Linked DNA regions of Drosophila melanogaster. The protein of the gene in region 1 interacts with the protein of each later gene in a pairwise test. Each region holds a gene or a part of one and is shown in the gene's direction. Other genes may lie near its edges.

The links.
Region 2: the proteins of CG11581 (region 1) and Arr1 interact in a two-hybrid assay, tested with the Drosophila melanogaster proteins (one large-scale study listed by BioGRID).
Region 3: the proteins of CG11581 (region 1) and Arpc2 interact in a two-hybrid assay, tested with the Drosophila melanogaster proteins (one large-scale study listed by BioGRID).
Region 4: the proteins of CG11581 (region 1) and CG2157 interact in a two-hybrid assay, tested with the Drosophila melanogaster proteins (one large-scale study listed by BioGRID).

Annotation. Positions count from the first base shown.
Region 1 is NC_004354.4:14,173,922-14,180,068, forward strand, and holds CG11581 (uncharacterized protein), read left to right. Parts: upstream 1-3,001; 5' UTR 3,002-3,025; coding exon 3,026-4,030; 3' UTR 4,031-4,535; downstream 4,536-6,147. Other genes in the region: CG1368 (uncharacterized protein), read left to right, coding at 906-908, 1,050-1,607.
Region 2 is NT_033779.5:18,075,648-18,083,196, forward strand, and holds Arr1 (arrestin 1), read left to right. Parts: upstream 1-2,621; 5' UTR 2,622-2,740; coding exon 2,741-2,849; intron 2,850-3,001; exon of another isoform or gene 3,002-3,083; coding exon of another isoform or gene 3,084-3,150; intron 3,151-3,268; coding exon 3,269-4,076; intron 4,077-4,309; coding exon 4,310-4,439; intron 4,440-4,499; coding exon 4,500-4,547; 3' UTR 4,548-5,660; downstream 5,661-7,549. Other genes in the region: ninaD (neither inactivation nor afterpotential D), read left to right, coding at 6,018-6,146, 6,206-6,508, 6,577-7,388, 7,452-7,542. UniProt on the Drosophila melanogaster protein: Regulates photoreceptor cell deactivation. Arr1 and Arr2 proteins are mediators of rhodopsin inactivation and are essential for the termination of the phototransduction cascade.
Region 3 is NT_033779.5:20,414,099-20,424,256, forward strand, and holds Arpc2 (Actin-related protein 2/3 complex, subunit 2), read left to right. Parts: upstream 1-2,958; 5' UTR 2,959-3,495; coding exon 3,496-3,569; intron 3,570-4,249; exon of another isoform or gene 4,250-4,383; intron 4,384-4,424; exon of another isoform or gene 4,425-4,556; intron 4,557-4,571; exon of another isoform or gene 4,572-4,706; intron 4,707-4,735; exon of another isoform or gene 4,736-4,869; intron 4,870-4,898; exon of another isoform or gene 4,899-5,035; intron 5,036-5,046; exon of another isoform or gene 5,047-5,183; intron 5,184-5,204; exon of another isoform or gene 5,205-5,332; intron 5,333-5,357; exon of another isoform or gene 5,358-5,487; intron 5,488-5,527; exon of another isoform or gene 5,528-5,658; intron 5,659-5,675; exon of another isoform or gene 5,676-5,810; intron 5,811-5,833; exon of another isoform or gene 5,834-5,967; intron 5,968-6,220; coding exon 6,221-6,314; intron 6,315-6,391; coding exon 6,392-6,491; intron 6,492-6,549; coding exon 6,550-6,736; intron 6,737-6,798; coding exon 6,799-7,019; intron 7,020-7,052; exon of another isoform or gene 7,053-7,176; intron 7,177-7,205; exon of another isoform or gene 7,206-7,340; intron 7,341-7,376; exon of another isoform or gene 7,377-7,502; intron 7,503-7,518; and 13 more. Other genes in the region: CG10949 (uncharacterized protein), read right to left, coding at 1,170-2,008, 2,066-2,606; CG15130 (uncharacterized protein), read right to left, coding at 9,087-9,175. UniProt on the Drosophila melanogaster protein: Functions as actin-binding component of the Arp2/3 complex which is involved in regulation of actin polymerization and together with an activating nucleation-promoting factor (NPF) mediates the formation of branched actin networks.
Region 4 is NC_004354.4:10,866,678-10,872,485, forward strand, and holds CG2157 (uncharacterized protein), read left to right. Parts: upstream 1-2,606; 5' UTR 2,607-2,702; coding exon 2,703-2,714; intron 2,715-3,059; coding exon 3,060-3,432; intron 3,433-3,505; coding exon 3,506-3,864; 3' UTR 3,865-4,026; downstream 4,027-5,808.

The DNA of each region.
Region 1 (6,147 bases):
CCATTCCCCTTGAGTCCGACGCTAATAAGCCAGATTGAAGAGACCACAAAAAGGTGTCCCAAAGTAGTTCACCCGCCGCAAACCCGTTGCGTGGATGGAAAAAAATATAATATCGTAAATGAGCCAAACCCGTTTGCATGTGCGATTTCGTTCGATTTTTATGTTGAATTTAATTTTAATGTGATTTTCCGTTTGGTAGTTTAGCCAGCCCCCTCCCTATATATGCTTTTTAACCTCCGCCCTGATTAGTGTTGCCATTTTAGCCATTTTATTGCCAAAACCATCTAACTAAGTAAGCTCTGCCAATGATCTATGCTAGTTAACGTTTCAAGTTACCATTTTTTTTTCAAAACTCAGTTTTTAAGAAGTAAGTAAATATTTAACAAGTCGGCAGTTTTAAGTTGTAAATAGGTGATTAGCTCAAATGTTAGTATCTAAATCTTTTATATTATTACTTATTTTGCATTGTGCTACCACTACTACTTAATTGAACATTGCAAACGGTCTGGTGTACATAAACAATTATAAGTGAAGCATATTCTTAATTGAAAATACTTAAACTTTTTAACAGTTTTCACAATTAGCTGCCAACTTATGTGGCTATGTCCCCTCAGCCCCTCAGCACCAGTCAGCCGTTTGTTTGTCTTGATTTCATGGTGACGTCTTTTGCGGCGGCTTCTTCTTGGTCCGCTGGCCGCTTAAGCCTGCTCTTCTTCTTGCCCGGCGTCTGCCGTTAGTGCCGGTGTGCCACCGCTGCAGTTGGAACGGGCTCTCCAAAACCGGGGCTTTTCTTCGAAGACGGCCGGCAGCTATAAATTGACTGGCGGCTGGTAGGGACCGGCATCAGTCGCAGCCTCTAGCTCATCCAGCACAGTCGCTTGAAAACGCAGAAACCTCAACTCAAGATGGTCAGTGAAGGATTACAAGTTCAGCTTGAAACAAGGATACATCGATTTAACAATATTATTTGACAAAATTTTTTTTTTTTTTGCGGTGCTTAAAAAATTTGCTGTGTTTGTAATGTGTGAAGTGTGTTGTCCTACTTGCAGAAATTCCTTATTGCCTTCGCCCTGTTCGCCTGCGTGGCCGCCGATGTTAGCCACCTGAGCAACGAGTACCTGCCCCCCGTCCAGAGCTCGTACGCCGCTCCCTCGGTGAGCTACTCCGCACCAGCCGTGCAGCAGACCTACGCCGCTCCAGCCATCCAGCAGTCGTATGTCGCCCCCAGCAACGAGTACCTGCCTCCTGTGCAGACCTACTCCGCACCGGCCGTCCAGAGGACCTACTCCGCACCAGCTGTCCAGAGGACCTACTCCGCCCCCTCTGTTAGCTACTCGGCACCCTCTGTGAGCTACTCGGCTCCATCGGTCAGCTACTCCGCTCCTGCTGTCCAGCAGTCGTACTCCGCTCCATCGGTCAGCTACTCCGCCCCTGCTGTCCAGCAGTCGTACTCCGCTCCATCGGTCAGCTACTCCGCCCCTGCTGTCCAGCAGTCGTACTCCGCTCCTGCCGTCAGCTACTCCGCCCCATCGGTGAGCTACTCTGCACCCTCCGTGGATGTGGGCACCCAGTACGCCTCCAACGGTGGCTACGTCTACAGGAAGTAGGGATCTTCAACGAAGAGGCCTGCAACTGAACACGAAACAGTGTCCATAACTACATACTGCCCAAATTAACCATATATTTTTTTTTTTTGTTTTGTAAACTTTTGTTTACAACGAAATAAACCGAAACATCAATAATCCAAATAAATACTTTTGTTTTTAAAATGGGTTTCAGAGTTATAAAAACAAGCGTCTAATATTAATATTAATAAAATTTTTAACAAGTGTATCCCTATTCACTTTATATCAAAATTCCGGACCAGGATACCAAAATAGCGTACTAAAAACCACGCGCGACTTGAGTGCGGTTTGGTTGCGGTTTAGGTGCGGTTTTGTTGCGGTTTTGATGCGGTTTGAGTGCGGTTCGTTTTCAAAATCGAACGTCAAAAGCAAGTGCTTGTTGGTGCTTAATACTTCAGAGTAGACAAAAGGTGGCACTTTATAAGCCAATAAAAATATAATAAAGTATACGAATGATATGTCCATACAAAGTAAAGAAGATTTATTGGCATTAGTCTATAATGGTAATTTTCAAAATTAAAAAGCTTAATTCTTCGACTAGTTAACACTAAAACCTGTAGGACAAGAACATAAACATTTAACATACATCAATGTTTTAACTAAGTATTAGCGTTAAAAAATATAATATAAAGCTTTAATTAAGTTGGGCTTTTTATAAACAGCTTGCAGCTTTGATTAAACTTGGAAGCTGCGACTATTTTAAGCATTTTCAAAGAGCTTTTAGTTTAAATATAGCATGAAACTTTATGGTTTTCCTAGTTTTAACACTAAGCTTTTGAGTATTTCAAAACTATGACTTGCAGATACATTTTCTGAGAGTGCTTGGCATTTCTGAAAAATTATTTACTCAAGACTTTTTGAAATCATTCAAAACCATTATTTAGTATATTACAGTAAATAAAACGAACCTCCTCGACGTTTTTCCTGTTTTTAATTAACACCCTTTTGCTTTCAGGTAGTAATTTTTAAAATTTAATATTCATCATAAAGCTGAGCAAGAACTTGAATCTAAATCAAATAAAATGTTACCCTTTCATTGTTCTTTCTTTTCGTTTATTGAATCTTTTTCATTATCGCCTCTTTTCTTTGTGCGATGCTGAATTTAACATTCGATTTCGGCGTTAGTTTATTTATGTAAAATCCGGCCGCTAAATTAAATTTTATAGTTCAGTTTTGGCACCTCCCCTCGCACCTTCGATCACCTTTGGATTGGCGATTATTTATGGAACCTTTGTGATGATGCAAAGCAATTTCCGTTCGCCGAATGCGAAAGTGAAATGAGCCGGCCGCGAATTTATGTAATATGTTGATATGCCGTCTTATATATGGCGGATTTGGGGCCCGTGGCCGCATAGCCACCGTCGCCGTGCAAGTTCCCAGAGATCAAACCGGAGCTCGAGATGATGCAGCCATGGGCCGTTGTGGTCCTACTTCTGCCCCTGATCAACGGAGATGTGAGTCACCTGCCCAGGGAATATATACCGCCCAGTGCGGAACTGGAGCCAACCACACGGTCTGCTGCTGATGGCCAGGAGGTGCAGAAGGATCCATCTGGATTCTATCCATCGACTGGACTGCCACTGCCGCCGGGCTATGCCATTCCCACGGGCAGCAACGTTTTGCCACAGCCTGTCCAGCCGCCAAACTTCCCTCTGCCCATCTATCCACCATTCTACGGCTTCGGCGGAGGTCCTGTCGAGCAGGGAGGAGGACATGGTATTGGGCCAGTGCCTTCGGCCTATCCCAACGGAGGTGCATTCCCGGCGGGTCCTACCAATGGAGGCGCATTCGCAGGGGGTCCTACGAATGCGGCCTTCCAACTGCCACCAGGTGGTCCTTTCGGTCCGCAAGCTGGTAATTTTGCCCAGCCAGGTGGTTTCCCGCAGGCAGGTGGGTTTCCCCCACAAGGAGCTGGCTTCCAGCCACAAGGCATCCCTGGCAATGGATTCCCAACGCAAGGAGCTCCCTTCTCACCACAGCAGGGAGTGTTCCCATCACAAGGAGGTGCCTTCGGGCCACAGGGAATACCGGGCAATGGTTTCCTAGGAGGTAACTTCCCGCCACAGGGAGGGCCCTTCCCAGGATCCGCATATCCACCGGAGTTCTTGACAAACCAGGGACTTCCCCTCACAAATCCCCAGGGTCCCTTCCAAGGACCCAGTCCAGCAGGATTCAATGTGCCCGCAGGATTCGGCGGACCTGTGCCCGGCCAGAATCCCTACCAACAATTTGGACCCGGTTTCGGAGGACCCGCTCCGCCGGGCTACTCCGATGAGCCGGCGAAGGAGCAACCAAAGGACAGTGAGAGGACAGTAGTGGCACCACCATCGGCCGACGATCCCAAGAGTGTGGCGGATACGGTTTACGCATCCAATGGCGGCTATGTCTACAAGAGGGCCAAGTAATGCGATGGCTTTCGAAGCCCCAAATTGGGGAGTTCATCAAACATGTTCGCCATAAATTATGATCCATATTTTGTTTTTTTTTTTTCTTGTATTTTTTGTGCCTTTGTTTTTATTCATTTATTTGATCTGCTGGCCATAAAGATGCGGACAGACAAAACGATTGTCTCTATGCTAATCGAAATCTTTGCCAAAACTGACTGATAACCATAAACGAGACAATCTATCGTCGTGATTGATACATATATATAGACAGACCTATGTTTTATGCATACCCTGGCCAGACACATATGTGTTCATAAACTATGTTGTCTTCAAAAGTCAATACAAGGCGATTAAAGGCTGAAATAAAAAACACGATTAGTGGTTTGGGTGTGGACTAAAACCGAAGTCCTACGATAATTATGCACATTCACCATCAAGGTTTATTGAACTCTGATATGTTTCTGGATGGAATTAAGTTTAAACAAAATGGTACAAGAATTAAAAAAAAAAACATCCACAACTTAAAAGCAGTAATAGTTTATCATGCAACAACAATGGATCATTAAAAATGGATTTATGTTTATCATTTCATATTCTAAAATAAATCCAACTTAAAAACGAATAAATTCAAATGATTGTCTTACATGTATAAATTTTGAATTGACGTCACAGAAAAGAGGTAGAGAAAGAAGCTGCCCACCTAAAGGGCAAACTTAATCGATTTAAGTTAATTTCAGCGAAATTCAAAGAACCTTCTGAGTTAATTTTAGCTTCGCGATATTTTTTTTTTTTTTTTTAATTTGCCAAACTAGTTTCTGACGTCAAAGAGTTTCCCCTAAAGAACATACATACATTTATGATAATGAACTTCTTTTCGTGAACTTAAGATGGTTATCGAAAAGGGGATTTTTCCATAGTTTAAAACCAGACTTATTCAACTCCCATGTTTGGTTTCAAAAGTCTATAGACTTCAACTAGCCCGAATTGATTTTTTATTCATCTTTTTTTTTTTTTTTTGATGTCTCCACTGAATTATTTATATGTGGCTTTTGATTGTGTTGTTGTTATACAGTAAATACATTAAAAGTCTTTATAACAACTTTTTTATGGCTTTGCCAAATGGTAAAAAATGTCTTTTTGTCTTTTGGGAGAGCTTTTGTCACCTTTTATGACACGCTTCATCAACTTACATTAGTTGGTTCATATACTTACATCAAGTGGTTTATCAACTTACATCAGTTGGGCGGTTTAGTGCTGCTATTTACTTCTGGTTGCTTAACATTCATTTGTATTTAGTGTTTTACTACACTTTCAAGTAAAATAACCTTATAAAGTAAAACAATATATAAAATAATGAACTAATTTTAAAGTATTTTATTAAAGCAGTATTGCTCTTCAGGCAATATATCACTTTTTAACAAACTTTTTTGCAATTTGCTTACTTATTTAGATATAGATTGTAACTAGAACATGTATATTATATCTTATACATCTGAGTTTTTCTATCTTTCACTCAAGCTCAAGCCCTTCCGTTTGTCGTATATGCAAATCGAAAGTGGCTAATCCAAATCAATTCAGCAGCTTTGTTGCAATTTTCGCTAAAGTCGAACTCAGCTGAATATTCATCACGATCGTGAGCTATAGCTTTTGGATATATAGAGGCTGTTCGCACAGCAATTAGTCATAATTAAGGCAGACTGTGCCCGCGGTTGTCAGAGGCCCTCAACTTGACATTTTCCTTTGTGGACTCGAACCTTAACTTGTTTTCAATTTGTCACATTTCTGCGCGTTTTTGTTCACTTTTTTGTGCGGGGCGCGTGTTTGGGGCGCCAGGTGCAAAAGAAGAAGAAAATGATGATGACAATGATGAAGATGAAGAAGAAGTTCGCATTCAAATGAATGGCCTCCGAAGATCCGCATAGTATGGTCTTTGTATTATCTTGTAAGCCCATGACATGCCCATCATAATAATCACCGCGACACACGCCTACGAGATGCATATGAAATCGTATCGAATCCATATCGAGATCCCCTGATTACCAATAATATATGGCCCATTGAAAATGTCCGAAGGTTGGACACGTTTCTGCCACCGAGTGAGATCTCAGTAGATATGCTATATTGTTGGGAAATCG
Region 2 (7,549 bases), on another chromosome or scaffold:
ACATCGTCAGACGGCGACGACATCGCTGCCAAGTCCGTTCATGCAGCACAGGACCTGTGTATTTCTCCAGTTTTTCCTACACTTTTTGTACGCCCGGGCAGAGGGTGCGACATGTCCTTCCTCTGGCTAATGGTAACTGGAAATGGCAGCAACTCGCGCCAAGGCTGGGCGCCAATTCTGTTTGCTTTTACTTTTCATAAGACAACAATTTCGGTTTCGCTACAATTTTCCGTGCTATTGGCCCTGATCGGGTTGATGAGTCGCCCACCACTCGCGGCCCACCGATATTTGGCCTAAAACTTTGTGGCTACCCGAGCGCACGTTTCAATGGCAGATGTCGGCCATGCATCAAGGTGTTTCGGGCCAAGTTACCACCTGAAGTTGTTGGCTCGCCTTCTCGTTTTAAAATGCGACACAGTAAAAAAGTCTTTGTTTTTAAATGGCTGGTAGAATGCATGTTATCTGTGTTTTATCTGTTTTTAAATATTCCTATTCAATTGGAAGCGCAAAAGTATGCTAAACTAAACTTTTTTTCTGATATAGCATACTTCTTTAAAGGTAAATAACAACAATAAAAGACAATTATAAATAAAAGATATTTATCTTGTTAATATAATATAATATTAATATATTAAACTAAGGTAAAATTTTCATGACTTAAAAAATAAAACTGTTTTTTAACCTATTTTATAGAGGTACAGTTTTAAGCTTATCGTTTTTCTTTGCAGTCTGATTGTGGCCAAAAGTCTGGCTCCAGTTGGCCGTCGATTTTGCCAAACGACAATTGCACTGCATTCGGTGCCTGTTCTGGGCTCTTGGCCAAACTCCGCAGTTTGGTCCATGGCAATCGCGCTGATTGTGCAATGCAATTTGGCCGTCGACTTTGTCTCGCCTTGGTTAGGCAATTGAATTGCCCAAATTAGCTCTCGAGTGGACTGAAAGAGAAGAATGGTGGCAAACTGCTTCCGTGGCTTTTTAAATCGCTCCTGCTTTAAGGGGAATCCGGAAATTGTAGAAGTCTGAAGAGGTACTCTCGAAAATGGGTCAATACCACCCACAGCTAGCTCAATTGCGCACAAATAATAAAGTCAACCTTTTGTGGTCGTTTGCAATTTTATTGTATTGCTATAATCTGCCATATAAAGGATGGTTCAACAGACCACATATGAATTTGAGATGGTGATGGGTTTTCAAAGTATCCGTGTGATAAAAACAAAGCTTAAATAGTTTTTGCTTTAAACGCGTTGCACTTTAAAGAAGTCCTTAGAAGGTCAGCCATGCACTCAATAATATAGCTTTGCATTGTATTTCTAGAAAAAATGTCCTCTTTTAAGACAAGTGCTCATATTTCTGATATGAGTTTAGACCTATAGACGGATTGAATGTAAAAACTCTGAACGCTTTTCTAACAGAATCTTAAGAACACCTCATTTAGTAACATATTGCCATTTTTCAGGACAACACCGTGGCCATGCCTCCCGGAAAGTTCACTTGTAATGTATTTAAATGAGAGACATGCCCATAACCAGCGCCGTTTTCCTACTGGCCCACACGTCGTGAGTGCAAAAGTTTTGCTATTATTAAGGGCCTCATTGTCGGTTTTGTTGGACCCTTGGCGACTGTCCGCCGACACTTTCCCGCACTTTCCCGCCACATTTTCACACACGAAAAGGGGGGATGTAGTTGGTGGAAAACTCCGCCCCACTTGCTCGACTGTCCGGTCCCCAACCACACAATAAAGAACAATATATTTCACACAACTTTGTTCATATTTTTAATGTCAGGAGTATAATTATTACGTTCATTGACTTTGTTAAGTAGCCTACTTTATGCTAATGTGATTTCATAGCACAAAATGGAAATGGCAAATGGTGAGAGGGCCAGCAGCTTTGCATAGAATATTTTTACATAATTGAATGTGCAGGTCCTTCAACTGACAGTTACTGGTAAAGCTTAAGTTCTTATGTGTCATTATATATATACACATAACGTCTAGATTCGTTGGGAAAAATTGATTTAAATGTTTAATATAATTCAAAGAAGAATATTATTACATCTAGCTTGAAATGGGATCCTTCACCAATTATTTTGAAAATTCCGAAGCAAATACTTGGAATACTTGGAATTTATTAAGTACCTCGTTGTTATAACTAGTAGTTGTCTCCAGTTAACATAAAGCTATTATAAATGTCATAATAAACAACCGCTTATCAGTACTTAGCCGACGAGTGCTTAGGGCTCAATTAAATTAACAACAATTACGTAAATGGAAAAGAACAAAACCCACCACGTAATGTTTGGGTTTAAATACGTCATCCTAGGCGGAAAACAACAAACCAAAATACGCATACTAAATCGATTTCTCGAGCTATTTCTGTACATTCACCTGTCCTGCATTGCTAATACGCCGTGTTGCTCGCGCGTTATTTAATGTTTGAGCCATCGATGTCGATGTCGTGCTGCAATGTCAATATCAAAGACACTGCGCACAGCAAGGTTGCCGAAGCCGTAGTAGTTTACCGCCGTGCAATTGCTGAATTTCTGCTGTGCGGCTAATTGAATTTAGAGGGGCGACAGGTGCCACAATGCCAGGTATAAATGCCGGATTGCCAAAGAGCGCTAATTAATAGCCTAGTGGACCACGCAACGCGGCGTATACCATCGAGAACGAGCGCGAAACGTTAAAGGCACATCCAAAGTTTAAACTATTTCCGCAGAGATTTTGATAAACAGCTCCAAAATGGTGGTCAATTTCAAGGTGTTCAAGAAGTGTTCCCCGAACAACATGATCACGCTCTACATGAACAGGCGTGATTTTGTAGATTCCGTGACTCAGGTGGAACCCATTGGTAGGTGTCACAGACCGAAACCCTTGAGCAATGGGATTTACGAATGAGGAAATCCATCAAAAAATAAATTCGTGTAGGAATTGGTACCCATATTCGATTGAAGTATCTTATAGTTTGAAAATAACTTCAGTGTAACTTTTGTTTCAACTTAACACATTGGAATTTTTAATACCTTCCTTGAAAAGTGATATCAAATCAAAATTATATTATAAAAACTCCATTTCGAATCTGCATATGCCGACCAGCAAATATAAACTCAGGGAGTTATTCAAAATTGCATCTGAATTCAATAGCCCAGGGAGTTAAGTTAAATTGGCTGCGCTAGCAGCTAACCAAGTTCATCGATTACGCGAGCAAGCAAACCAAGAGGCTGGGCGCTTGTAAATAATATTCTCCAATTAATAAGCGTCCTCTTGCAGATGGAATCATTGTGCTGGACGATGAGTACGTGCGCCAGAACCGCAAGATCTTCGTGCAGTTGGTCTGCAATTTCCGATATGGGCGCGAGGACGACGAGATGATCGGTCTGCGGTTCCAGAAGGAACTGACCCTGGTCTCGCAGCAGGTGTGCCCACCCCAGAAGCAGGACATCCAGTTGACCAAGATGCAGGAGCGTCTGCTGAAGAAGCTTGGCTCCAATGCCTATCCCTTCGTGATGCAGATGCCACCAAGCTCGCCGGCCTCGGTGGTTCTCCAGCAGAAGGCCAGTGACGAGAGCCAGCCCTGCGGAGTCCAGTACTTCGTAAAGATCTTTACCGGAGACAGCGACTGCGATCGATCGCATCGCAGGAGCACCATTAACCTGGGCATCCGCAAGGTGCAGTACGCACCGACCAAGCAGGGCATCCAGCCCTGCACCGTCGTTCGCAAGGACTTCCTTCTGTCGCCCGGAGAGCTCGAACTGGAGGTCACCCTCGACAAGCAGCTGTACCATCACGGCGAGAAGATCTCGGTGAACATCTGCGTGCGCAACAACTCCAACAAGGTGGTGAAGAAGATCAAGGCCATGGTGCAGCAGGGCGTCGATGTGGTCCTGTTCCAGAACGGTCAGTTCCGCAACACGATCGCCTTCATGGAGACGAGCGAGGGATGTCCCCTGAACCCGGGATCCAGCCTGCAGAAGGTCATGTATCTGGTGCCCACCCTGGTGGCCAATTGCGACCGCGCAGGCATCGCCGTTGAGGGTGATATCAAGCGCAAAGACACAGCTCTGGCCTCGACCACACTGTGAGTAAAATTTATTCACATCATAGCTTAGCAGATGAAACATTAATATTATACTCTATTAAGTATCAACTTAAAATCATACCATAAAATCAATCAAATTTTAAAGTTAGGAACCTTTTTAAAAATCGTATTTTCCCGGTGACTAACAGTTCTTTAGCTAAATGTGTTTACAAAATGGCATAAAACGCATACTAATACTAAGTGAAAAATGCATATTTAAAATTCTATTTCAGTATTGCCAGTCAGGATGCGAGGGATGCCTTTGGCATAATTGTTTCATATGCTGTGAAGGTCAAGCTTTTCTTGGGAGCCCTGGGCGGCGAGCTCTGCGCTGAGCTACCATTTATTCTGATGCACCCGAAGGTAATAAAAGGTGTGCCCAAATATTTGAATAGTTATTGAAAGGCAATCAATTATTTACAGCCAAGTCGCAAGGCCCAACTGGAAGCCGAGGGCTCCATTGAGGCCTAAACTGAAAGGGCTACCTCAACCAACGAAAAAAATGGCGTATTTCTACAAGTCAAACCGATTTTTGTAGATCCTAAAAAATGCTGATGTTGCTGAAATGTTCTGAACTGCAGTCGTCGTACTTTTCCTATATAGCAAATCCAATATCCATATATTGTATGTGTGTATGTGTATTATATTTATAACTCAACTAACAATTAAATATGAACAGAGTTTATGTATGTATTTTGGAGTATTCTATTGAATTTAGCACGGTGTATTTGAAAAGGCTCCAGCATTGAAAGTTTGTATGGAATGCGCACTAAATATTTAATAATGTGCTTACGAAGGCATTTCGTAGTATTTGATATCTTGCAATGTCTGCTGATTATGTACATTGAAGTGCAATGGGGAAATCAACAGAAGCCAGTGCAATCTATTCAATTACTAATAGTGGGTCTTGCATTTGTGGCTTAGTAATTCCAATTATTGCTACTCTGAAAAGCCGAGGAGCAGCCTAATTAATACTTGGCCACTATGCTGGAGGAAGTTTACTGAACTGAATTCGAGTAAGGAAAATGGACAATAATTGATATAATATGGTGAGCTTCTTGCTGGACTTTGAAATCGTAAAATTTAAGCGAACACACTTCAAACGCATCCATTTAATTTGTGAATGTTTGCAGTCCCACTTTTAATAAGCACCCAATATTAACGATAACGCCACTCTAATCAAAATTTTCCAATAGTCAGGGTTGAAATACTGATCAATCACGCTGCCAACATTTCGGCAGACCAGGTGGGTAATGAGTTTAAAATGGTTTTGCGTAATGGGATTAATCGAATTTCATTAAGGAAGATTAGATTGCCGTCTTTGGAAGTGATCTTTTATAGTGGCTGACCATAAAAATTGCATTGCAAATACTAATTTAAGCATACATGCTATATAACCGATAAGATGGGCGAGCGTCAAGGCAAAAATAGTTGACCGTATTAATAGTTTAATCAACTAGCTTCAAGTTAATTTATAATGCGAATTAGGAAGCACTCTGGCATGCTATTAAAAACTTAAGAACTGATAAACGAAACTTAATTCCTAAAATAAAAATGTACCTAATTACTTTTATATACTATTATAAATAAAATTGTACCATGTATCGTTAAATTTGATTTAGTTACCAAGTGGTATTTGGTACGTGGCAGCATGAAATAGCTACTACTGCTAGTCTGGCTGATTAGCCAGCACTCTCAATAAACTAAGTGCAGCGTTTTGCATTTATCAGGATTTTTGGTACTCTAAACACACACTTAGATCCCAATCACCCCACAGAATAAGTTGAGCAAACCAAACCGAGCTGATTACCACAGTAGACATGATGATTAGCCGCTGCTTTATTTACTAGTGGATAATCTACTAAGCGACGCATGAATAAAAACTCGAGCGATATTTTTCCACTTTGCAGTCGCTCGAAAGCCTTTGTTTCGTCTCTCAATATGTGCTGCAGCTGCTGTGGGGTGACCCAACAAAAGGCCTGGGTCTTCGGCCTGGGAACCTTTTTCGCGGTCTCCGGACTCCTGGCCATAATATGCTGGCCTGGCTTTATAGACTCAGGGATTATGAAGGTGAGAGGCGGTGTATAAAAATAAAATTAAGGAGGAGTACTAATCGATTTATTAAAAAGGCCTTGCCGTTGACACCCACTTCAAAGACTTTTGAAAAATGGGAGGAGCTGCCCATTCCGGTGTATGTCTACATGTATCTTTGGAACTGGACAAATGCCGCAGATGTGCAGGCTAATGGAGTAAAACCTATTTTCGCGCAACTTGGACCCTATGTTTATCGAGAGGAGAGGAAGAAGATGGATCTTGAGTGGCACGACAATGGCACAGTTACCTTTAACCCCAGAAGAACTTGGTTCTGGGAAGAGGAGCTCTCTGGCGGCAAGCAAACGGATTTAATTACCGCCCCACATTTACCTTCATTGGTAGGAAATAAGCAGTTATTAAAAAACAATTTGGTCTAAAAGAAGTTTTCCTTTTTCACTTTTTGCAGGCTGCTTCAAACCAAATGCGGAATAGCAACGTCTTCCTGAAATTCATGTTCAACGAGGCCCTAAATGCGAATGGTGGACATCTCTTTGTGACCCACACGGCAGCTGAATGGCTGTTCGAAAGTTTCTACGACGAATTTTTGCATTACGCCATGACCCTGAATAATCCATTGGTCCCAAAAATCGAGTCGGATCACTTTGCCTGGTTCCTCAACCGTAACGGATCGAAGGACTTCGAGGGTCCCTTCACTGTACACACCGGAGTGGGTGACATCAAGGAGATGGGTGAAATTAAGTATTGGAAGGGCCAGAATCACACGGGATGGTACGATGGAGAATGTGGACGTCTCAATGGCAGCACCACGGATCTTTTTGTGCCCGATGAGCCCAAGGAGAAGGCTTTGACCATCTTCATTCCGGATACTTGTCGGATCATAAATCTTGAGTTCACCGGACAGAGCGAAACAATTCAGGGCATCACGGGTTGGAAGTACGAGATAACGCCGAATACCTTCGACAATGGACAGATCAATGGTAACGCGAAGTGCTGGTGTCCTTTGGAGCGCCAGCCAGATAATTGTCCTGCAACCGGAGCCACTGACCTAGGACCGTGTGCCGATGGAGTTCCCATGTACCTTTCTGCGGATCATTTTATGTACGCGGACGAAAGTTATGGCAGCACGATAAGCGGCTACAATCCGAATTACGATCAAAATAACTTTTATATCATCATGGAGCGCAAGATGGGAGTGCCGTTGAAGGTCAATGCCAATGTGATGATTACCTTGTACATAGAGCCAGACAGCGTTATAGAGTAATTATTTACAATAATTGTTGCCTACCATATATATGACTTGATAAACACATTTTTTCCTAGCATACTGAAGGGCCTGCCCAGCTTCTATGCACCACTTTTTACCACTGCTAGTCGAGCGGAAATCGACGAAGCCCTCGCCTCAGAACTTAGGGTATGTT
Region 3 (10,158 bases), on another chromosome or scaffold:
AGACATTCTTTTGCCATATTCCGAAGCAAAATTGCAATTCGTATGATTCATACTTTTATACTTCCAGAGATCTCGACTTTTATTCGGACAGATAAACGGACAAACGGACTTTAGGTTATGAGACGCTTTCTTCTTCATGTATCATTCTTTCTAATGAGTCTAGTTTAGCCTGGTAACTCTACGAGTAGATGGAATAGCTGATCCCAACTGACACTACTTGTCTGGATGCACTTACCTGTGTGTCAACAAAGAATGCATCTAGTGCGTCTAAAAGCAGCCAAAAGGACCACCTGGGTGCCGCCTCCAATGCCGATGATCGAGCTAATGGCCGCCAAGGCATGGAGCGATGACATGGGGTTCGGTCTAACGAGGAGGATGGACGGCAGGTGTCACAGCGACGGGCGCACTCTCTTCATCCATCCGCTTGGGCCGCACCACTCGACGCGGGGAATCCGGATCCCGGCCAGAACTTCAAACGCTTGCCGCGCACTTCGTTTATTTACACAAGAAACAAGTTTATGCCCGAGAAGAACCATTCGCAGGCACTTAGCAGGCGCTCGCGTTTATTATCTTAATAATAATTTCAGAGTTCAGGCGGCGCTCTTTGACGCACAACTAGGGATTCCTGCTCGCATGAGAATGGGATTTGGATCGGTATCTCTGGGTCCCGACCAACTGCACCGTGCGAACCGGAGGCGGCAACTAAGCGAATCGAGAATCTGTTGGCACTCGCGCTTCCCAAGAGCCAAGTGCACGCCAAGCGATTTGTTTATCCATCTGCTGCGTACGCGCGAATTTGTTCGTTATTAATTGCAATAAATGGTGTCGGCGTGGGCGCTTTTATTTATTTCTGTTTTTTGTTTTTGGTCGGTATGAAATGTTTGTTTCTAATTTTCGCGTAACCGAAATATTTGAATAATTCAGCGCCCTCTGGTGGCGGGTAGCGTTTGATGGCGATGGTTGTGGTTACGCATTTCAATGCTTTTCAGCACTGGTAATTTAAACAACTCAATTTGAAATCTACAAATATTCAAACCTTTCTTTTTCAATATTGCCTTTTGAGCCACAATATTTAGTAAGTTTATTTATTTACAGATATTTTCATGCTTACACTTATGTAATAACCCTTCTTCGTAATACTTTTGCAGCTAATCTACAACATTCTAATTTCAGTTAATGACCTGACAAGGTGCCACATCCTCGATCTCCTCGCCATCGAGGGCTTTGATTTGGCACTGGCACAGGAACTGCACGATCTTACGCTCGGCACTTGCCCGCTCAGACGGACTCAGTCCGTCCAGCAGCATCTGAGCCTTGGCAAGCAGGCTGTTGGCAGGCTGTGTACTTCGCTGTTCTCGCTCCTGCTCCTGTTCGTGGTGAATCTGGGCCTGCAGCTCCCGGGATTGCTGAAGCACGGTCTCCATGTTGGCAATCACGGTGGTCAACAGTTTGTCGGAGATGGCGGCAGACGGTACAGAGTCCCCAGGGAGAGAGGAGGACTCCTCTACGACGGGATTTACCCTGGCGATTGTGTGAATTATTTCCTCACTGGTGGCCGGCGTGGTGGTGGTCACCTGGAGCTGCTGTGGTGGCTCCAAGTCCTGCCGTGCCGTCGCTTCGCTGAGGATAAAATCGTACGGCGTTGCTTGCTCCGCCTCCGATAGTATCTCAATCTCTTCATCGTAGGCCAACTCAAGATCATCCTCCAGATCGTCGTTGTCCGTACTGTAGGGGTAATCAGCGCCCCAGATTTGCTCACCACTGGAGATCACCATTCCCTCCGGCTGTTTGCTGGTCTTTCCCGAAGGATTTCCTGCTTTGGGTGGTCGTCCACGTCGCTTGATGTTCTCCAAAACCAGGGGCACTCCTTTGCGGAAGTGGCGGCCCAGAAAGAGAAGGTCGTTAAAGTACCTCCACGTGATGGGCGTGGACTGGTTGATCTGATGACTGCGGAACTCCCGCCCGAAACGATCACGCAGCTTCTTCCAGCGGTTGTAGCAAAGTTCCTCTATTGAAAATTATCGGCATTAAGGGCTGAAGATCAAGAGGGTTACCCCGAGCTCACCCGACACATTTAGGTTTTCAGAAATCTCTCGCCAGGCTTCGTTTTTCGCTGCTAGGTTCTTGGAGACTCTGATCTTGTGACGATCATACAGCACGGGATGAGACTTGACCAGCTCAATGAGCTGCTCGTTCAGCAGGTCATCCTGGGAGTCCTCCTCCTCCTCGTCCTTTCTCCGCCTCTCCTGCTCCATGTCCACTTTTGTGCGCTTTTTCCGCTCCCTGGGCTCAAAACGCATCCCGTCGAGACTCTCGTTCCTTGCCAGTCCCTGTTTGTAGTGATCCTTGAGAAAGAGCAGTCGCGGAAACATGTCCCAGTAGGTGGGCTCATCCGGACGCTCCTGGAAACGGCGAAACTCCTTGCCGAAACGATCGCGAATGCTCTTCCAGCGCGTAATGCACGCCCGTTCCGAGGCTCCTAACTTCTGGGAGATGGCCTTCCAGGCCGCGTCCTTTTGCGCCGCATTCTTCACGCTCCTCGCGCAGTCCTTGTCGTACAGGATCGGGTGTCTCTCTATCAATTTAATCAGCTCATCGTCGTCCATTGATTTTCGCTATTATTTGTTTTTATTTATTCTGAACGATCCGGCAGCCTGGCGGGAAATATTGATAGTCGATAGGCGATGGGTCATCGCACAAAAAGGGCTGCCAGATTATTCTGTTAAAAAAATGTGCCTCTTAGTTTTATAGCACCGTTATTATAACAATGTTAAATAAAATATTTGTGTGTTTGTCTTAAAATGTCTTAATACATATTTATAATTTAAAGTTCGTGTGTACGAATTTCGTTTAAAATATATTCTATTTTATATATTTTAAAGAAAATTCTCTTTATGTTTGTTAAAATCTGCTGGTTTGAATTTCTGTGTAACCTGATAACATTGATGGTCGATAGCTCGATACTTCAATCTTTCCATCGGTGAGTTTGCCCCATCTCTATTGTGCTACCTGGCAACGCTGTGAGCAAGGAAAATACGGCAGCGTGCTCCCCGTTTTCCATCCACGTTTTGTTATAATTTTATAAGTATTACGGTCTGAGACCGATTTTGCACTGCATCGTGCGCGCTGCAAGTACTGGCGATTGGAAATTGGAGGCGCGAAAAGAGGATAAGGTGGATTTTCTTGCAACTGTGTGTGTGAGCATTGGAATTCGCCCGTGTGTGTGGCGAGAGTGCGTCCATGTGTGTGTGACGGACCAAAAAAGCCGACATCAGCGCCCATTTTTTGTTGTTGATTCATTAATACGCCCGTCATGCACCAGTATTGGTGAGTTGGAGCAGCGCACCGTCTTACTCGCACTCAACGGAGCGCAGAAAGAGCGCAGGGAGCGGCAGAAGAAGAAGCAGCGAGCAGCAGCACCATTAGCGGCAGTCAACGTCATATAATTTGTCATCGAAATTGGCACACTAAAAATAACAGTTAACTTCAACCGCCATGATCCTGCTGGAAATCAATAATCGGATTATCGAGGAGACGCTGCTGGTCAAATACCGTAATGCCCAGGCTGGGTAAGTCAATGCCTTCCAGTCCCGTTTCCCCAATTTCCATTCCACCATTTTGATTTCTATGCTGCATTCCCCACCGTTCTGTTATCACCAGTCGGCTTTGTTATCAATTTCGTTAGCTCTCTCTTTCCTCGGGAATAAATTTGGGTGTAGTTCCAGCCTTGGAACACTCATCGCTGCAGCTCTCTCCCTCCCACACACGTACCCAAGTACAGTGCAGCCCCCTTACGTCGACAGCGTATTAGTTAATTCATTACAACTCGCTATTCGCATCATCGGTGCTGAAAATCTGCAAAACTGACTCATCCATTGACGTGCATTCAAACGCATACGCTTGTGATGATCGAAAATATTAGTATTTATTTGTTCCTAATCCCGAAAAAGGATATTATTATTGAAGAAACATTATCAAAGGAGTCGTGTTACGAAAGAAATATGTTTAAGCTAAACGGTTTAGAAGAAGCTTAGACGAAGCTTACAGACTAACAAAATTATTAAAATTAGTAAAATAACTTATTGTACTAACAGCACTATCAGCAGAAAGAGGTATTTGTGTTTGGTAGCGAATGATTAAGATCTCACATAAATAAATGTATTTAAATGCTAATAGTTATGATGCCATTAGTTTATTCCCGATAAGATTGCAGTGTAATGCCTGAAATTAAGGCAATAAAAGTTATAAATTGTGGAACAAAAGTGGCATACTTGGAAAAAATCTCCTGTTGTGTCTCAAATGTTCCAAAATAAACCAAAAGGACGAACGGCATCCTGAATAATCAATCATATTATAGCAGATGACTTGTGTTCGTGTACATAAAAACTAATAGTTTCAATATTACTCCCCTATTATCTGTATTCTTGGGAGACAAAGTTTACATGCTAAAGATTCTCCATTTTCCGTGTCTACAACGCTCCGATATAAATTGTAACGCTTAAATCATCTTGAGTAATTCTTTTTGTTTCTTAAGATAAATACTTTCGTGTACATTATTGCAAATTTTAGGCTTTGGAGCCAAAGTGGCATTCTTCAAAAACAATATTTGATCTGTGTCTCAAAAGCTCCAACATTAACTAGAAAGACGAACGGCATCCTGAATAATCAATCATATTATAACAGATGACTTGTGTTCGTGTACATTTGCCATAAAATGTTCAACTTTTGTAATATTCTGGAGTCAAAGTGGCACGTCTTACGATCTTCCTGTAACTTGTGTCTCAAATGCTCCAATATCAAACGAAAGGACGAACGGCATCCTGAATAATCAATCATATTATAGCAGATGACTTGTGTTCGACTACAATAGTATTCGATTTATTAGACCAATAATGCCTCGGGAGACAAAGTTTACATGTTGAAGATGATGTGGCTTCTTTTTCGTGTCTACAATGCTCCAAAATAAATTGTTCGTTTAAATCGTCTTATTCGATTTATTTTATTGCCTAAGATGGTTGCCAACTGCACAACAACTAATTAAATATTTGGGTGGAGTTAAAGTGGCATATTTTATAGCTTTCCTTTGATCTGTGTCTCTATCGCTCCAATATCAATTTTATAAGCGAACGGCATCCTGTTTAATTACTTATATTAAGACAGACGACTTGTGTTCGTGCACAACTTCAAAATGCTTCAATAGTCATATGGAGAAAAAGTTTACATGCTAAAGTATTTTTCTTTTCCGTGTCTACAATGCTCCAATATTAATTGAACGTCTAAATCATCTTGGATATAATTATATTTCCATAGATAAATACATTCGTTCACAATACATTCGTTGTTCATATGAAAATGGATTGGAGTCAAAGTGGCACACTTAATCCATTTTTATTTGTGTCTCAAATGCTCCAATATCAAATGCAAAGGCGAACGGCATCCTGAATAATTATGCATATTATAACAGATGACTTGTGTTCGCCTACAATAGCTCCTGATAGCTTTACATTCCTTTATAAGACTCCCGTCTTCGGAGACAAAGTTTACATGCTAAGGATAAGATCTTTTTCGTGTCTACAATGCTCCAAGAGCAAATGTTCGTTTAAATCATCCTTGGCATTCAATATTTTTGCTGTGGATGCATTTAATTCGTGCACATATTTATAGATATGTATGTCGTGGAGGTAAAGTGGCATTCTCGGGATATATAAACCTGCCTGTGTCTCAAACACTCCCAAATCAACTTGGTTGGCGAACGGCATCCTGAGTAATTAATAATATTACATCAGATGACTTGAGTTCGCGCACAATCGCTTTAAGATCGCAAAGTACGATTTAGGAGCCAAAGTGGCATGCCTTGGAACTTTTATCCAATTTGTGTCTCTAATGCTCCGATACTAATTATACAAACGAACGGCATCCTGTTTGATCCTACATATCACAATAGATGACTTGAGTTCGTGTACATTATTCAGAAATATTTGTTTAGTTCTTGTAATTGAATTAAACTAAATTTAGATATCGGCTTAGCGATCCAGATACAAATACATACGGATGTTTTAATTTATTCGAAAACGCAAAATATAATTTTATTGCTGCTGGTTTCTTTTGGAAAAATAATCGGGTATAAACGAGTTTATGTGATAAGATACGGTGGAGTGTGGGGAGCATGACTAATAAGCAAGAAAATAAATGAGAATTTACTTTTTAATTCTCTTTCCAGACTGAAGCCTGAATCGATAGACATACGAATAGCAGACTTCGACGGCGTCCTTTATCACATTTCCAATGTGAATGGCGATAAAACAAAAGTTCGGGTAAGTGTACCGCGTACTATTCATTTAGGATAAATCCAACATTAACGATTTCTCACTTTTCTTGGGCTGCGAAACAGATCAGCATATCGCTGAAGTTCTACAAACAGCTGCAAGAACATGGAGCCGACGAGTTGCTGAAGCGTGAATATGGCAGTCTGCTTACAGACACGGAAGAAGGTACGTTCGTGTTTAAGTTCGGCATTTAAAGAAGTTAATTACTCTCGTCTAATTGCAGGCTACAATGTTTCCGTACTTATCAACCTGGAGGAGATTCCCGAGGACTGCGAGCAAATCGCAAAGAGAATCGGACTGCTGAAGCGCAACTGTTTCGCATCGGTTTTTGAAAAGTATTTTGACTATCAGGAGCAGGGCGAAGAGGGCCAAAAGCGTGCCGTCATTAACTACCGCAACGATGAGACTTTGTAAGTCAGAAAAATATGTTTTTGACTCGTCCAAGCGCTGACAATCTACAATCGATTTGCAGATATGTGGAAGCCAAGCCTGATCGTGTCACCGTCGTCTTTAGTACCATTTTCCGGGACGAAGACGATGTCATTATCGGCAAAGTATTTATGCAGGAATTGAGGGAAGGTCGGCGTGCCTCGCACACCGCACCACAAGTGCTCTTTTCGCACCGAGAACCACCATTGGAATTGGCCAACACGGACGCTAGGGTGGGCGACAACATTGGCTATGTCACATTCGGTATGTTAAAGGTTGAATGGTAAACCATGTGCTGTGGAGCCAAAGTTTACACGTTAAAGTGCATTTGTCTTTTCCATGTCTACAAGGCTCCATATAAATAGTATCGTTAAAATCATCTTGAACATTCTAGTTTATAAATATATCCAATGATAAATACTTCCGCGCACAATAATGCATTAAAGTCACCTGTGGAGTCAAAGTGGCATGTTTTAAATTACAATTTGAATTGTGTCTCAAATGCTCCAATATCAACAAGATATGCGAACGGCATCCTGAATAATCAATCATATTATAGCAGATGACTTGTGTTTGTGTACAGTAACACACCAACCCAGAATCCCCAAGCTGAATTGTTCAGTGGAGACAAAGTTTACATTTTAACAGTATTATCGTTTTTATGTCTACAATGCTCCGAAATCAATATCCGATCCAATTATCCAAAGCAGTCTTATATTTCCTTGGATGATTTCTTTCGTTACAAAAATGTCAGTATATTCCATATGGAGTTAAAGTGGCATATTTTTAATACTTACCCTAAATCTGTGTCTCTAAAGCTCCAATATTAAATAAATAGACAATCGGCATCCTGAATAATCAATCATATTATAGCAGATGACTTGTGTTTGTGTACAGTAAAAGAATATCTTAGACTGCCTTTTTTAAATGGAGACAAAGTTTACATGTTAACAATATTATCGTTTTCGTGTCTACAATGCTCCAAAATCAATATATTCGATCGAATCATCCGAAGCAGTCTTATATTTCCTTGGATGATTTCTTTGGTGCACAGTGCACAGCTAATGTAATCCCAATGGAGTTAAAGTGGCATATTTTGTATACCTTCCTTCAATTTGTGTCTCTAATGCTCCAATATTAAATAAGTAGACGAACGGCATCCTGAATAATCAATCATATTATCGCAGATGACTTGTGTTTGTGTACAGTACTTCTTAGAATTGAACCGATGTTACACTTTGAAATATCCAAAAGAAACAAAATAGTAACGACTCATACTTGTTTTTTGCAGTACTCTTCCCTCGGCATACCAACAAAGAAACAAGGGACAATACCATTAACTTAATTCACATGTTCCGAGATTACTTGCACTACCACATTAAGGTAAGTGTTGTATGCAGCTATGCAAAAATATCTTTTATATATTTGAAATATGCATTTTTGAGCAGTGTTCAAAGGCTTACATTCATTCGCGCATGCGAGCAAAAACCTCGGATTTCCTCAAGGTGCTAAATCGTGCAAGGCCAGAGCCCAAAAACACGGAGAAGAAAACTATAACGTGAGCATTGGACTTTCCATAACGAATTCTGATTACTAACTCGTGTTCTTTTTGCAGGGGGAGAACTTTCAAGCGCATCGATTGATGTGTTCAGTATATTTAGTTGTTTTTATATAAATACAAAAAATAAATTGTGTATTAAAATTCGATATCCGAATGGTGAATCCAACATAAACTAAACCAGATTGCAAGACAAACCCAAGTATTCCAAACAGAACCGTAAGGCTAAATGTAAGCTCAGCAAAATAATGATCAAAGAATTAATAGTTACGCGTTAGTAAATGAATTGTGTGTGTTTGTGTCGAGTCATCGTCAAATCCGTGTCTCCGCCAATTTGTTACAGTCATAGGCCGAGTCAGCGCCACAGCTGAGCCGCATTTTAAACAAATAAACGTAGACTTAAGTGCAACATGAGAACTAAAACTACCATGTCAAAGCGAGCAACACGACTAAGGGATGCCACCAACTTGTTATATAGTCGCAATGGAGGATTCATCCCCGCAATTAGCCTGTATGTGTAGAAAGCGCATTTAAAAACGTACTGCAAATATTAACAAACCTTTGATACAGCAATCGGAATTAATAAAAACGAGAAAATCAAACTGCAATGTAAAATAAAAAAAGGGACACTCTTTTAATCTCTAGCTAGCTGCAGACGCTCGAATACACTTTATTTTCTAGCTTATTAGCTTTTAATTGCACATAATGTCTTAAATGTTACTAATATTTCGCTTAGGTATACCATCTCCGCTGCACAATACTATAACAGGCACTTAGATCTTAAACTTAACATTCTGCTTCGCGTTCATGCTCTCCATGCTGACCTGGAAGTTGAGATAGTCGCTCTGGATGCGGGCACACACTGAAAGAAATGTGTTGGGTAAACTAAGTTGGGACTGAGGAGCGCTTTGACTGTTACTATTGAGATGTGCTACTTACTTACAGTGGCAGTGTTCATTGCGATAGAGAGTTTACTGCTTAAGTACTTCCGATAGTTTGTACAGGGTGCGGGTGAATTTACAGAGCCCCTAGGGATCATCGTACTGTTCCAATTTGATATAAGCAAGTGCTGTGATAGAGAAGCGGCAGGGCGAGATGGATAGAATAAGTGAGTAAATCGCTTAACACTGGGAAAAATTCGTTCCAAGCATGCGAAGAGTTCTCATAAATTTGGAACAAGTCCAAAACTCAAGAAGATACTGACTTGAAATGCAATTTTGATTATTATTCTATTAGAAGAAGATAACTGAGAGTGAATATTTTGAATTTGAAATATTTTAAAATAACGTAACAATATTAAAAAACCATTTCAGTCGAAATTAAATTGATTACTGGTGGGATAACTGAAGATCAAAGTTTTGTATCGCAAGCTACTACTTTTCCGTTTATGTTATTTTAAGCCCCTTTTTATAAATTTGCTATCAAGATTGGAAAACAGAAGTGCTTTTCGTCCAATTGTGGTTCGGAACTTATCTTAAATGGTTGTAATGCCATAAAATACTACAATTAACAAGTTATTTAGACACCTAATTATTCAGCTGACTAGCATCTCTCTATAAGAAATCCCTTCACATTCAAAAACTTCAGAAAGAATTTTTCTCAGTGTGAGGTAACTAGCGTGCGACAAGAGGAGTCAGCTGGAGGAGTCGTTTATCATTTTGTATATATACAAATGCGTGAACTCGTGTGGGAGGTGGGTGGTGGATGGGCGGGATAGTGAGGATGGGTAGGAGGAGCTCCAGACAGGAAAAGGGCTTGGCTCGCATTAGGGTGACAGCGAAAGTGGGGCAGTTGGTACACAGGTTTTCTACGCGATGTGTATGTATGAGCGGGGGTAATGAGATG
Region 4 (5,808 bases), 3.3 Mb from region 1:
ATAGACAAGGTGTATATTATTTACCATTATTTAAGTATTTAGGTCAAGGTCGCTTGGAGCTTGGGGATACGATCCATTATGGGGGTGGTGGTCACCGCTTGAGCGAGGGACTTGACTTTGTCGTTTGGCCAGTCGCACAATGCACATGGATGGATAATCGTGTGAAGTATTCTTGGTCTTGGCTGATGGTAATATGCAATTATGCAAAGTGCAAGTTCAGCGGAAAAGGCCATGGTTTTGTTTTGCTTTGTTGTGGATTTGTTGTCGCCACACCATTGTCTCCAGGTCTGAGATTAGCTAAGGTAGCCACCCAGATGCAGCCCACTTCGACCCACTGCCACCCCAAAGTTCCCATCATCATCATCATCGTCGTCATCATAGTCAGCATCATCATAATTTTCAGCTTCATTTGCTCGATGTACCTTGCTTGCGGTTTTTTTTTTTTTAAAGCTGCATTTGGATCGCTTTAGTTTTCAGTTTTTCTGCTTTCAGTTAACCAAGCCGCTCTGTTCAATTATAATTAAATCTGTTTGTAAATATAATTGGTGGGCGTGCGACTGGCATGAATGATGCAAGATTGCTGCCACCGTCGAGCGTGATTTGCTTTTGCAAATTAGAACAACGAATCATGGCAACGCCCCGGGGAAAATGTTACCTGTCTAATCTGGGATTTGGTTCTTCCCTTCGAATGCACTGCGAAAAACAGGTGCGTATACTTCAATGGAAAAGATACAACATGAACTGAGTGATATACAAAGATAGAAAAACTCTTGAATACAATAATGGATTAGAATGGTCTTAAAATTCTGAGATGAAATATGCAACTTAAATGATATTTGAAAAAATCACTATACTAGTTTTGCTCCACATTTTTTTATGCTTTTAACTGGCTCTATCTCAACTGACAAAGTTCTAAATCTGATTTTTGCACCGTGCTTGCTTTTCCTTGATTACTCATACGCCCCGTGTGCGCGGGTTGGCCAAGAAATGGAGGCTACCACTTACCGCGAGATTCACGGGCTGCCCGTGTAATGGGCTTTTAGGCCTCGGCATTAAAGAACCATTGTCTCAGTGGGGTAAGAGCACAAGAAAAGAAAAAAAAAAACGAGAAACTCCCAGGCCATCGCCAAAGTGCACCCATGGCCAAGTCAACTCATAGCAGTCGGCAGTAGCTTCGGTTGCCTCCCTCCATCCATCCCTCCATCTATCCATCCATCCCTCCAACCATCTATCCATCCATACAGTCAGTCGAATCAGTTAACACTTTTCACATGCCCGCCGGGTCGAACAATGTGAACCCACTCATATGGGCGGTATGACAAGCGTATGTATATACTATGTGGCTATCCACAAGCATGGCATCGACAACTATTTTGACATATTTCGTAAATATCCGTGGATAAGTATCGCAATGCTATTGGCACACGTAACTTCAACTGCACAGATACAAGCTACAGTTTTGCAGTTTTGGAAAATGGCAAACGGATATAGATCGTTATGTTCTTAAATGCTACTTTATTATTCAAACACTTGCTAAAGTTATTATTAAAGTTATTTGAAACATCTGAGTACTTTTTAGTTTCTTGTACTAAACTCTATAGATTAAATGTACTTAAATGTGGAATACCCCTGAATTTATGCTAAAACTATCGCCCAGATTGGTAGAACCTAATTCAGTCCATTCAACCCAATCGAAGTTACGACTCCAATCCGTTAGGTTTTTTAGAAAATGTGTCAGCAATGTTGGTTGGAATGGGGATACTTAGCTTAGGCACTTGGCCAAAAAGCCTCTAAGAAATTAACAATTGCCACCTTTGTTGGCGAAATTCAAGCATTCAGATCCGCCTGGCTCTTCTTCTCTGCGATGTTTTGTTAACAATTTCAGTTGGCTTAAATAAGCGCTGGAAAGTGAAAACCCAATTCGATACTGTTGTTCATGAAATGAGTCACGTACTAGCCGCAATATTTATCTATCTAACTAAATCGTTTCAACTGGACTCGCATGATTGCTGTTACGTTTTTTTTTTAAACTTTGTTTTCAAAGCTGCAATCGTTGGGCATTTTCGCGTTTTATGTTGACCAATTAGCTGTTTCAGGGTCAAGTTAATGATTCAATTAGCATTTGTCATCATTGTTATTGCTTCTCCTGAGCGGCGGCGGTATAATTGATCCCCCAGATCGTGGGAATATTCATAATGATGTGTGATCACACATCAACACGCCCAACCAGCTTTTCATAAGTAGATCATTCGAAAGGTATTGTTTTCTTCAAGAAAAGAGTTAAGATTATAAATATGTATTTAATATACAATATTAGCAATCTAAGTTGATCCAGAGTTGTTCCATAAATGGGTTAAGTAGAGCTCATCTGATTCTGGAAACTATCTAATCCAGGATATAAATTCAATCTAATATGTTTGATGATTAAGCCAAGACCCATCAGCATACACGTTGTCCAGTGGCATGCGTCATACATACATAGGTGGCAAGCAAGGCGACACGAATCTCTGGGATGCAACAGTTGCGTCCAACTTCGCGGCTCGAGTTCGCTGGGATTGGAAGTGGGCTCGGCGGGTATAAAAGCGACTGCCGGCCCGGTGGGGAATCATTAGACAAGTGTCGAACGGCGCGTGCGCATCATAGTCTTGAAGGAGCAGTTAGCCACCAGAAAGCAGTGAACACCACAAACCGGCAGCCACAACATGAAGTGCTTTGTAAGGACTCGCCAAAGGATCTCTCGTGGATTATAATTTCCCAAAAACTAGAAAATGATTTAAAAAACACAGTTCGTTAAAGTGAATAATAAGTTTTGAAAGCATTGTATTCCAAATGCTTGATGTTCATTGTTAAATTATAAAGTGTATTTAAATTTTAGTTTAAAGTTGATACATATTTTTTACATTTTTTTTATTACATTTTTGAATATGTTTTATGTTGCTTTTGAGAATTTGTTAAACAAAATACTATTGTTAAAAAGTACTTTTCACTTTATTGAAATATGTTTTAAGTGGTAATCTTTTGAATATGATACATTTTGGTGACGCTTTATCCTCGCGCAGTTTATCCTGATAGCAACCAGTCTGGTGCTGAGTGCCTATGCCCAGGACGCGGCGGATTCTGACCTGGAGCAGGTGGCATCCGCATCGGCACCGGATGCGGTGGCCGTGGAGGATCAGGTGAGCGCCGCCAGCAGCTATGCCCCGCTGCAGGATAAGAAGCAGGAGAAGCGCTATGTTGGTGGATACGGTGGCTACGGAGCGGGCTACGGCGCGGGATACGGCGGCTATGGCGCCGGATATGGCGCAGGATACGGCGGCTATGCCTCTGGCCTGGGAGCCGGCTATGGAGGAGCGTACGGCAGTGGCGTCGGCGTTGGCGTGGACAGCTACTACAATCCGTACAGCTCGCGAGCTCTGGGTGGATTAGGTGAGGGTGAGCTTGAAAGAAGACTCTCAATCTCTTGCCGAAGACTCGTAGTATACCAACGCTGTTTCTCAATCCCCAGATGGTGCTGCAGTGGCCGGATACGGAGGCTATGGATCCACTCTGGGCGGCTATGGATCCGCTTTGGGTGGCTATGGATCCGCTCTTGGTGGCTATGGATCGGGACTTAGTGGTTATGGTGGCTCCTACAACTCGAATCCATACGCCCTGTCATACTACAACAGCAGGCTGGGCGCTGGAGCCGGCACTGGGTATCCGTACTACAACACCCGATTCGGCGCTGGTGGCTATCCATCCAGTTACTATACGAGCAACTATGGCAACAGCGTGGTGGGCGGCGGCTTGGGCGCTTTGGGCGGAGTGCCGCCCATCGGATCGGGCTATAACTACGGTTCCGGAATCTCGGGAACCGTCTACTAGACACCGCACGGTCCAACGTTCAAGATCTAAGCTAGTGGAATTTATTTTTTTTCATCGATATATTTTTTTCTAACTTTATTTTTATTAAAAGATGCTACAAAAAAATACATTATCATAATCGTCATTTAACTAGAAAGTATATATTTATATATGCATGTAATCTCATTGGGGCGATGGATATGCGCCATGCTTGTCCTTGATCACCCAGAAGGAGTCGACAATGGCGCCGTTCTGGTCATCGGACACCTGCTCGAAGTGAAGATGCGTGCCATTATGTGCCTTCAAGCGGGTGTATCCGTAATCCTAAAGAGATTATAGAATTATAGTATTCCGTTTTGATATTAAGCAGGTCATTCAATTACATTGCTATGGTAGGCATTCCAGATGGGCAAATCGTTGGAGAAGGGCTCGCGCTCCTCCTTGCAGCCGGCGGAACCCGTGATGATCTGGATGGGCGCCTTGGGATTAGTGTATGGCGCCTCGGCACTGCCATTGTACACCTTGTAGTCGTAGATTGGCCACAGGCGAGTGTAGAAGTGTTCATGCGCAAAGATCTCCACGTCGACGCCGTGCTTGTAGAACAGATCCTCCAGGCCGAACCACTTGAGCATGGGCAGACCCTGGCGAATGTACGTCTCCAGTTGGCTATTGCAATCGTACTCCTTGTCGTCGCTGCAGTACATCGGTCGATGACCGTAGGTGATGATCCACGGACGTTTGGCCCGATTCTCGGGCAGATTGGCCTCGGCCAGGTCACGTTCCAGCCACTCGAATTGCTTGGTCAGCAACTTGAAGCCATAGCTGAGGAAGTAGTAGACCTCCGTGGAGAAGGAGACAAAGTGCACGGGTCCCAAGTTGAAGCTGTACCACAAGCTGTCCGTTTCGCCGGGCATATTGAAGCGGGCGCGATAGTTGGAGAAGTTGCTGTGATGGGCCAAAGTAAGTTAGGTTTGAATAGTTAACACACCGGCATCATCAAATACTTACTACTTCTCCTCGTGATTGCCCGGACAAACCATGTAGGGCACATAGGCAGCCACCGACTCGATCTGGCGCATGAATGCATCACCCACGGCAGCGTTGGAGGTGTCCATGTCGTAGGCAAAGTCACCCACATGGATGATGGCATCGTACATGCCTCGCTCAGTGTCCTGCTGTAGTCGGCCCATCGACTGGGCATTCTCGTTGCCCATGTCACCGAAAATGGCCAACGAGGGCGACCACTTCTCACCCGCCGGTGGCGTCTTGAAATTGAACACCGCCGACCAACCGAGCGGACTGCCGCAGCTGTACTCGTACCGCGTGTCCGGCTCCAGATCCTTCAGTTCCACATTGTGTATGTACTGAGTGCGAGCCTTCTTTCCACCATCGACGAATCGCTGCCAGGTGCCGTTCACCATTATCGGCTCGTCTTTTAGATAGTTCCGCGAGAATTTAACCACCGAGGCGTTGGGGGAACTTCGAGTCGACCATGTCACCACAATATCACGAAGATTGTCTACAACAAAGTTCATTAGCTGGGATTATTCTCACTTTTAAAGACCCAATTTATATTTAAAACCATCTCGTTTTAAAAACAGTTTCCCCTCGAATTTCGTACTTAAGACTATAGAATCAGTAGGCCACAATCATTGCCACTCATACATAGTTGTTTTATTTGAGCGTATAACTGTAATTACATTTCATTAAAATATATATGTTTAGAAGGAGGATAGTTTCTTGGTCCGATTGCTGCGAATATAAATCATTCGAATTTGTGCCCGAATTTAAAATACTTTAGTATATGACGACATAAAATATCACAAAGTTTTTGAGTTGAGATCAGACTGGTACGGTCCATGCTTGTCCTTGACCACCCAGAAACTATCGATGACCTCGCCCTTCTTGTCATCGGACACCTGCTCGAAATGTAGATGGGTGCCGTTGTGGGCCTTCAGTCGAAGA